Rattus norvegicus: one gene and its partner. The protein of the gene in region 1 interacts with the protein of each later gene in a pairwise test. Links are inferred from orthologs where the notes say so. Each region holds a gene or a part of one and is shown on either strand. Other genes may lie near its edges.

Region 1 (4,888 bases):
CTACCATTTGAGAGGATGTGGGGTGCACTGAGGATGCTCCAATGCTGAACTATGACCTCAGCCCCAATCACCATTACTATTAACCATTTAAAAGGAAATCTTAGTGCCTTCGAACACTACTCAGTGACAAACTCCCTAGCAAACACCAAGCCTAGGAAGTTCTGTAAGGAAAGTCTAACTTACAGAATGGCGGACTTTTTTCTTGTGCTAAGAACTGGACTTTACAAACGAGTGCCAGAGGTCTGCTTTAGCCTATTCTTGTGCATCTGTGCTCCCCATACCCATCCAACAGTCTGATGTGCTGTCCAGTTTGGGGGGACAGGGTATGCTTTCAACTTTTATCACATTTACTGCTCCCACAGGAAACAGATAAACCAACATTAGAATAAGTTACTTTAGGAAAGCTTTACTTTTACCCAGTAAAGACATTTTTACAGCACAGCAAAACATAAGCTTCCACGGAATTTAAAATTCTAGTGTCACTATTCCCCACTCCCCCAAAAAAACCCTATAGATAATCACCTAAATAATTTTTCTATTTATAAAGTATTATTTCTAATGTCCTGAAATAAAATGTGGAAGCTGCCAGGAAGATGGAAATCTAAACTGGGACTCTCAGGAAGACTCAAGAGCTTCATAATTTAGTATGTCCACACATTCATTACTCGGTTACAATGTAAAAAAAAAAAAAACCAGGGCTGGAGAGATGGCTCAGTGGTTAAGAGCACTGACTGCACTTCCAGAGGTCCTGAGTTCAAATCCCAGCAACCACATGGTGGCTCACAACCATCTGTAATGGGATCTGGTGCCTTCTTCTGGTGTGTCTGAAGACAACTACAGTGTACTCACACACACTAAATAAATCTTTAAAAAGAAAAGAAAAAGAAAAAACCCTATTCGTACCAAATATTAACAAGGAGACAGAAGGAAGGAGCACACACCCATATGATGTAGACTGAACTGCAAAATAGCACATTTTTCATGTTTCTTATAAAACTAAACAGAACTGGCAGAGCATGGTGGTGAATGCCTTTAATACCAACACTCAGATGAGTAAGGCAGATGAATTTGAAGCCAGTCTGGTCTACACAGTGTGAGTTCCAGGATAGCCAAACTTCCAGAGTGAAAGCCTGTCTTTTAAATAAAAACAAAAGCAACTAAACAATAACAGAGCATATGGCCTCAAAAAGGACTCCTGAGGCTCTTCACAAGAACTGCAGCTGAAAACAGATGACCCTGGGCAGGTGACGGCACATTCATGGTGTGGAAAACCACTCAGCAGTTAAGTACTGAGCTGAGGACTTGGTTCAGTGGTAGAATGAAGCCTGTGCCTAGTATGCAAATCTCTGTCGTGGGAGGGATACAGACCTCACTGGGATGAATCTCAAAAACTATGCTGAGTGGAGGAAGAAAAAAAGCCTTATCCAGAAGACCACATGAGAGACAACTAGGTCTCTGTGAACTCAATCTTGTAGGAAAAACAATCCTTACAGGGGTGACAAAAAGAGGAACGGAAGGAAGCCTGTAGTTCACTCTAACAGGCTCCACTATGGCCTGCTTGGCTGACACAGGTGTAGATGGAGCTGGGGAAACCAGCCAAGGCAACCATGTCCGTATCACTGCGCCTCTCATCATGTGGAATACCATTTTTCAAAGACGTTGTTCTCAAGCCACTAATATTTATGTGGCTTACCTTCCTTATAAGGGTAATACTGATATTTGCAGTATTTTTAATAGTAAGTGTATTTTAGAAGTAAGAGATGCCCAATACAGAAAACGCAGGAAAATGTCAATTGTGGGTGACGGACACACCTGCTGGAAAACATAAAGACGGTAAACTTTTTTTTATAGCAGCGTTAACGCACAAGGAATGATGCTTCAGTCAACCAGAGTTTCTCTCAATGTGCCACACATCCTCTTGCTTCAGAAAAGAAACCGACTTCACCTTTGGAACTAGATAAGCCTTGAGAGAACTTACAGGTACATTCCAGTGGCTGTTCCCTGCTTCCTCGCATAAAACTGTTTACAATGTTTGATACTGTCAACAATTCAAATGCTCTAGACCGTGTTGAAAACTACATTTGATAGGTTCTACCAAGGCTCTTAATTAGCTGCAAGATTTGTTTTCCTGAATAGACTTTAAGGCAATTATCGGCCTTAACATCAACCATGTTTCCTTGCGGTCCGTTGCAACCGCTAAGACCCAGTCAGGTGTCTTCTCATCTCCCTAAAAAAATCAAACAAAAACCTATCCAATGAGTGGCAGCTAAGCGATGACGGAAGTATTGTTCACAGAAGCAGCAAGTCGCCTATGAATCAAAAAGTCATTTACTTTTTTCCTTTCAGGCGTGAGCTAGTACAGTGTGACTGAAAACAAGTTCCGCGTCATAATTTTTATAATAAAAGGCTGAAAGGTGGGGGAGAGTTCAGCATTCAAAACCGAGAACTAGCCCTCCACGTGCTTCTCGCCCCCAAACCTCTCCAATTCCCAGGCAGGTAAAACAATGACCCCCACCCAGCCTGGTCAAAGGCCGAGCGACGCCCGCGCCCTGCCTCCCAGCAGCTCCCGGCTCCTTTGTGAGGACTGGGGTCCCGGGGCCCGGAGCTCGGCGGCTGCGGCGCAGCCCAGCCCAGGCCGCGCGGCTCACTCGTCCCGGCCCCGCACAGCTCACGCAGCGGAACCCGGCGGGACCTGACCGGAGCTCCCCGGGGCCGCCGCCCGGCCAGGCCGCCCCTTCGCCGCCCTCCCCGCCCCGCCGGCGACGCAGCGACCGCCTGGCCCGCGCCCTCACCTGCTGGACCGAGCTGTTCTCGGGCACAGCGAACTCTTCCTTCTCTTTAGGCGTCTTCACCGTGACCTTCATGATCTTGGGCTCTGCGGGGCCGCTGTCGGCCGCACTGTCCTGAGCGCCCGGTGGGCCGCCGCTCTCTGCGCTCTCGGCCATGGCGGTGACTCAGGCGAGCGCGACACTGGGGGCTGCGGCCGGGTCCGCGGGGCGCGACAGGTTGCGGGGCCACCGACGGTGCGTAGACGCGGGCTGCGGGTGCAGGCCCCGGTGGGCGATCGGCTGCCGTGTGGACGCGGGGACTCTCCGCGTCGCCGCCGCTTCCTCCTCCCGCACCTCCCCCACGCTCGTCGCCGGGCGCCGCGCGGGGCACGCTGGGTAACGCGCTGGCCGCGGCGCCGACTCCTGGCGGCCGGCTGCGCGAGGCACGCCGGGTAGCGCGTTGGCGAAGGAGCCGACTCATGGCCTGGCGGCGCTCGTTCCTTTCTTAGCCGGCGGACGAAGCGCGGGCTCCTCCAGGTCGAAGGAGCGCTGGGCACAGCGGGGGAACTTAACCCACTTCGCGTCTCCCGTTCTTCTTTGAAAGGCATTTAAACAGGGGTTTCATGGAAGACGCCATGATGGTGCACTAAGATGACGTCACGGGCAGCGAAATTGCTAGAAACGTCTGGCCCTTTGCTCTCGGTCCCGGTATCCTCCCGACCTGGTCCCCGTGGGCGTTGGCTTATAAAATAGCGGCGAGTTACTTTATTTTAATAAGCGTAGTGTTTGCCCGGGTGGAAGGAGTTACGATTGCCTTGTCTTGTGCTCAGGGCTTGGAAGCTAAGCCAATGGTGAAAGGTCTTCAAAGGAACACGAAACAGACGCCAGTGAGCCACCAGCGCAACCGCAGGCGCTCACTGTTTCAATGAGGCCAGAGCTTCCCTCCATGGAGTCAAACAGGTTTGGTCAGAAGACAGGACAACCCATATTGTCTGTCTTCCAAGCTGCGTGGGGGCAGAAACAGAATGCCTAGGACTGTCCACCCAACGGGTAGGAGTTAAGCCCAGCTGATGTGTGCCTTTTGTATTCTGTCCCATTACGTTACTGTGCAGCTCGCATCAGGGATAATGGTTGAAAACTTATTTTCAGCATAATGTAGGCACAAATAAGTCATTCACAAGTGACTCCCACATCCTTTATTCGCAAAGATAGCATGTAATACAGTCCGGCACTTTGTTAATCAACATTGCACAAACGTGAACTCTGACAGTGTACCGTGACCCTAATATGCAAAGACATTCCATAGTTCTGCTCTTAGGCCATCAAACCCTGTTCTATGATTAACTACTGTTGCATAAACACTTCTTAGCAGAGCCCTTTGAAATCTGGGTCAGAGTTTCGAAGGTAAATGGCGACCCAAGTGTCACTTGATATCACTTACATTTCTGTCAGCGTTGTTCGATCACAGGAAGAAGTTACAAGCTTTATGTCTAGGTGTGAGAAAATTGTTAGTTCTTGGGGTAGAAAGTTCCACCACTGAGCAAGCAAGCATTTTGGAATTTTCTCATGTTTATATATATAAAATCTCCTTCCAACTTCATTAGTTCCTCTGTTGACTGGTTTTCCTTCCTGCTGTATTCTCCCTGTGTACTTCCCTAGGCTGCCTTCTATGATGACATCCCCCCCTTCCGCCCCCCTCACACCTTTCCCTGCCTAACTTTCTGTGATCTCACATCATATCCCCCACCTCCTGGAAGTCTTCATTCTGTTGCCCTTTAGAAACCCGATCTCTTTACTCTAATACAGCGGCTGTAGATAACCTTTACTGATGTTTGTATGGAATACCCTTGTAATTGTATTTTATTTCTAAAAATCTCTGAGGTATATGGCATGTTGTGAACAAGAGTTCTCCCAGCCAAGCAAGCCACTGCCATCTTGGGTAGTTAGCTGCACTTTCTTGGAAAAGGTTCCTCCAAGCTGGCGTTACTAACTAGCACACCCCTTCATGGAGTGGTAGGGAGGGTCCCAAGACTGTCACCGGAGTATCCAGCCTTTCTCTACCACCTGTTGTTTACAATGCTGCCTTAATTGCAAGTTGCCATAAGGAAGGTCTAGAGTAA
Region 2 (4,638 bases), on another chromosome or scaffold:
TGAAAGGCAGAAGCAGGTGGATCTCTGAGTTTGAGGCCAGCCTGGTCTTAAGAGTGAATTCCAGGACAACCAGGCCTACCCAGAGAAGTCTTCTCTCAAAACACACACACACACACACACACACACACACACACACACACACACACACACACGAAAGAGAAAAGGAAAAAGAAAGCCCCTAGCGCTTCTCTCCCTCGTCCTCCCATTTCTTCAGTTATTTAGCCAGGCGTGGTGACACACCCCTCTAATCCCAGCACTATGGAGGCCGAGGCAGAGACAAGTCAATTTCTGTGAGTCCAGCCTGGTGTACACAGTGAATTTCAGAACAGCCAGGGCCATGGAGGGAGACCCTGTCTCAAAAACATTATTTTTATTTAATATTTTAAAAAGCCAGAAATGGGGTTGGGGATTTGGCTCAGTGGTAGAGCGCTTACCTAGCAACCGCAAGGCCCTGGGTTTGGTCCCCAGCTCCGAAAAAAAAAAAAAAAGTCAGAAATAAGATTCACACATTTCTACTAGAATTAGGATGTAGAAAGACACCATCTTTAACCATATCCTTTTATTAAGCTATTTGCATGTTTGCCTGGGGCTTGTTGATAAGGGAGTTCTCATACCCACCACAGCAGAGGATGGTGGGTTTCAACAAGTGTTGCAGTGGCTAGGGTAGGTATCCCAGTGCAGGCTGATAGCATCTATGGCAGAGCCAGATCGGCCACTAATGAAACGGAGGACAGTGTTGGGGTGCAAGGGAACAGCGTTGAAACTTGTGCCTGAGTCTTTTCCAAAAGGCAGGTAGCGGCCTTTGTCTGTCACGAAGATCAGCTGCTTCACATAAGATTTGTACTTGCCAGACACCTGGATCACAGATTCCCCGGGGTGCAGAAAGATCTCCTCCAGGTCTCCCTGGTTGCCACCCACATAGTCACTCCACACTGTGCCGTAGCGCACCTGGAGACTGGAGGCAGGGGTGAGAAAAGAAGGAACACATTGGACATGGTTATCACAAGACTGGGCTGCTGAGATGGCTCCTCTGGTAGAGATGCTTTCCTGCCAAGCCTGACAACCTGAGTCCAACCCCTGCAACCCACAACTGGAGGGAGAGAACCCTACTCCCAGAAGTTGTCCTCCGGCCCCCACATGCACAATGAGGCCCTTGAGCACCCACACAAGCACACAAACATAAAACATAAATCTAAAAAATTTTCTCAGAGGTTAAGAGCACTGACTGCTCTTCCAGAGGTCCTGAGTTCAATTCCCAGCACCCACATGGTGGCTCACAACCATCTGTAATGAGATCCGATGCCCTCTTCTGGTGTGTCTGAAGGCAGCTACAGTGTATTCATGTAAATATAACAAATCTTTAAAAAAATAAAATCAAGACTTCCTAGTCTATATACTGAGATCTCAAACTGACAGATTCCATATGCTATAAAGGCTGCATGAGCCCTGCGAGAGCATGCAGAGAATCCCAAACTCTCGTTTGAATGGCAAATAGGGCTTGTGGAACGAAAGTCAGTTTCTCAGTCGCTTAGACAACAAAAGTCTGAGTTTGCCCACAATACACACTGGCACTGGAAGTCTGCCCAGGCCAGACAGGGAAGAGACAAGTCAGCAACTGTCTCATGGTTCAGAAAATGGACCAGAAAGAAATACACCTGGCTCTTTGTGTGATGGAAGTTTCCAGAGTGGGATAGGACTATTCCAGGACAGACAGCAAGCAGAGATAAAGGATGCCTGACAGAAATATTGGAAATAAGGTGAAATCCAACCCAAGTGGTGTGAGGCTCCTGGGAGTTTGCCCTTACGACTTTCCAAGGTCATGTGCACAGGTGGGAATCCCAGGTCAATGAGAACTTTCCAACTTAGCAAGGTCCTGGACAGACCCCAAAGCACAGAAACACGGAGACTCTTACCCTATTATGTAGTATCTGTTGACACGGATCCGGATGGCAGTGATGGGGCCGTCCAGCTGGTTGCCAGAGTGAGAGAATCGCTTTCCTCCTTTACCGCCATACTCTCCACTGTAAGAGGAGGACCTGGACTGAACTAGAGGGGAAAGAAAGGCCTGGAGGGACGGATGCTCTGGGGGCACAGCTTCCCCACTCCCCTCCTTCCTCCCACCAACCACTCCAGTGTCTGACAACCCTGCACAGTGGCAGTACACTGGCTGCCTTCCCATGATCTCCCTATGGCACTTCACTTACTGGAATTAGCAGACGCCGAGGCACAGAGAAGGACTAAGAGGGCAATGGCCAACATCCTGAGGCTGCAGAGGGGAGGAGAAGAAAAAGAAGGCTCATTCCTTGATGTGACTGTAACTGCTCATCTCTCCAAATCCCAAAGATAACCCTAACTTTCTGTCTCTGTTAAGCCGAGTCAAGCCTTCCTCCATCCTGGCACAAGGCACAAGAGAGCTCTCTGAAGAGGAAATAAAGGCCATCTCTAGAGTCCTGAGGCAGGTGAGTTGATGAACCAAGAATCTGAGCAAAACCTACCTGAAGCCAGCTGGTCTATGAGGTATCTGAGGCACAGTTAAGTCTCTCTAGCATCATTCTACTCTTAAGGCAAAGAAGATTTTAGGGGAACTTCTATGTCTCCTCGGGAGCAAAGGAGATGACAGAAAACACTGTATCAATGACAGGGTCTGAGCAGGACTGGTGGAGCTTAGAGAAGCTAATGGGGGGACATGTGTGAGCTCAAAACATCTGATCCCAGGTAACTTGACTGTGTGTCATAACCCTGTCTCTGCCAGCCGAATGGTCCATAGCTGTCCCCCACAAGCATCCCTTAGCCAAAACCAGACATCTTTGCACTCCAAAATAGCCCACTCCAGGCACTGTCGTTTCTATCTCATATTTGAATATCTCCCAACTCACCTTTCCCCTAGTAGTTGCAGATGCAAATCTTCTAGAAATTTCCAGAGCTTTTATACCTTGTCCAAGCCCTCCCACTGTTCTTTATCGTGTGAACCTCACCTGCTGAGCAAACATGACCAACTTTTAGGGTCAGGTATCAAGCAGGTCTGGAACATCTTATCCTGCCTTTTCCACAAGGGTTACAGGTGGCAAGGTGGGGTCCACTCTAGACAAAGTGCCAGATTTGGGAAGAGACAATTTGCTAAACCATCTGAAGGGTGGGGAAAGCAGTTAATATTTAAAGAGTGTAATTAATCCAGACAGACATGGTGGCTCATGTCTGTAATACCAACATTTGAGGGGTGTGTGGGGCAAGGCAGAGGATCATGAGTTCAAGGCCAATCTGGGCTATAGATGAGACCCTGTCTGAAAACCCAAACAAGCAAATGAGAGTGCAGTCCGAGAGGCCTGGAGATCTGTGGGTATTCTTCCCCCAGAATCAGTCCTTGCCCTAGGATAGTCCCAAGAACTGACCCCACGTAACTGTTACTCTCTCCACTCATGTGTGGTACGTCTCCCAGAACACAAAATCACTTTCTACTCTGAGCAGTGCCAAATATTGGCCTGATAATTTTTCTCTATTCGTTGATATTATATTATGAAGAATTCAGTTAAAAAGTTTAAAAAATTACATAGTAAACACCTATATCACAAGTCTGCTGTGATTAACCCTTTGCTGTGCCTGGGCTGTCTGTCTTTCACCCCTACATCTATCCATCCTCAGTCCAGACCCTTCTCAAGTCTTTTTTTCTCTGAGAAAGGGAACCTGGGGCTATAGGTGGGCAGTCCAATGGGCACGTGGGAAGCAGAGGGACAGTTTATACAAGTCCTTCTCCATGAATTGTTCGGGACTTGGACCTCAGGACCTCCAGGTTATAGACCACCAGAGTGAGCTTCCTCTCTTTAGGCCTGAAACACCCAAGAAGCAATGCTGTAGATTTCTCTTTAGATCCTTCCCTCTCAAGACTGATTTCCTCTTGATCAAAAGTCCCTAGAACTGACCCTTAAGTGCTAGTACTTAGACCCTGTTAGCCGAGCCCTGTGATCCTTGAGTCATCAGGCCTTCCTGGTAGAGAGGATGGAGCCTAGGGAGGGGCTGGAGTAAGCAGTGTCTGTCCTTAATGACCTGCAGTCAGGAAGTCAGAACATCCACCCTCTCCTTGCAGGCTCACCATCTGGGACTGAAAGCTCATCGCAGATAGCTAGGGAGTCCTGCCCTGAGAAGCCGGAAGCAGGGCAGGGCCCCTGGTGATGATAGATGCCAGGAATAGGACCAGACAGCCGCCACGGTTTCACCTCTCCTCCTCTCCTTTTCTCCAAGTTCAAGAGAATCACCAGCACCACCACCATGGCTTCATGTCCATTGTGCTGTCTCTTTCCCAGTTCTGCTTATGTCTTGATGTTTCCCCGAGTTTCCTACTCTAAGGTTCTTTGTTTATGTTCTTTCCCTTTCCCTGGTCATACCCCTTTTGAGCCCTCACTTCCTTACTCCTACATCTCTCCTCTCCCCCCTCCCCAGCCTCCTTCCTCCCAGTGTCATAGAGCTCCCTCCTTTTGTTATTAGGGGCACATCGTACATACAGTCTGGTACCCAGCCCTGGGAGGATGCGCTTGTATTTCTTACATGACGTAGCCAGAACCCTTGGGATAGAAGTGTGCCTAACTTGTCACATTTTCAGTCTATTGTCCTTACTCCTCCTATGCAGAGTCAGGAGCGCCCAAC

Evidence for each region. The genes of interacting proteins can lie anywhere in the genome.
Region 2: the proteins of Ubqln1 (region 1) and Zg16 interact in binary tests that used the Homo sapiens proteins (3 or more experiments, as listed by UniProt). The link is inferred for Rattus norvegicus from reciprocal best matches to the Homo sapiens genes UBQLN1 and ZG16.

Annotation. Positions count from the first base shown.
Region 1 is NC_086035.1:6,442,663-6,447,550, reverse strand, and holds the start of Ubqln1 (ubiquilin-1), read right to left. Parts: upstream 3,112-4,888; 5' UTR 2,946-3,111; coding exon 2,793-2,945; intron 1-2,792. UniProt on the Homo sapiens protein: Plays an important role in the regulation of different protein degradation mechanisms and pathways including ubiquitin-proteasome system (UPS), autophagy and endoplasmic reticulum-associated protein degradation (ERAD) pathway.
Region 2 is NC_086019.1:191,087,706-191,092,343, forward strand, and holds Zg16 (zymogen granule membrane protein 16 precursor), read right to left. Parts: upstream 2,901-4,638; 5' UTR 2,877-2,900; intron 2,267-2,876; 5' UTR 2,260-2,266; coding exon 2,205-2,259; intron 2,047-2,204; coding exon 1,914-2,046; intron 956-1,913; coding exon 640-955; 3' UTR 543-639; downstream 1-542. UniProt on the Homo sapiens protein: May play a role in protein trafficking. May act as a linker molecule between the submembranous matrix on the luminal side of zymogen granule membrane (ZGM) and aggregated secretory proteins during granule formation in the TGN.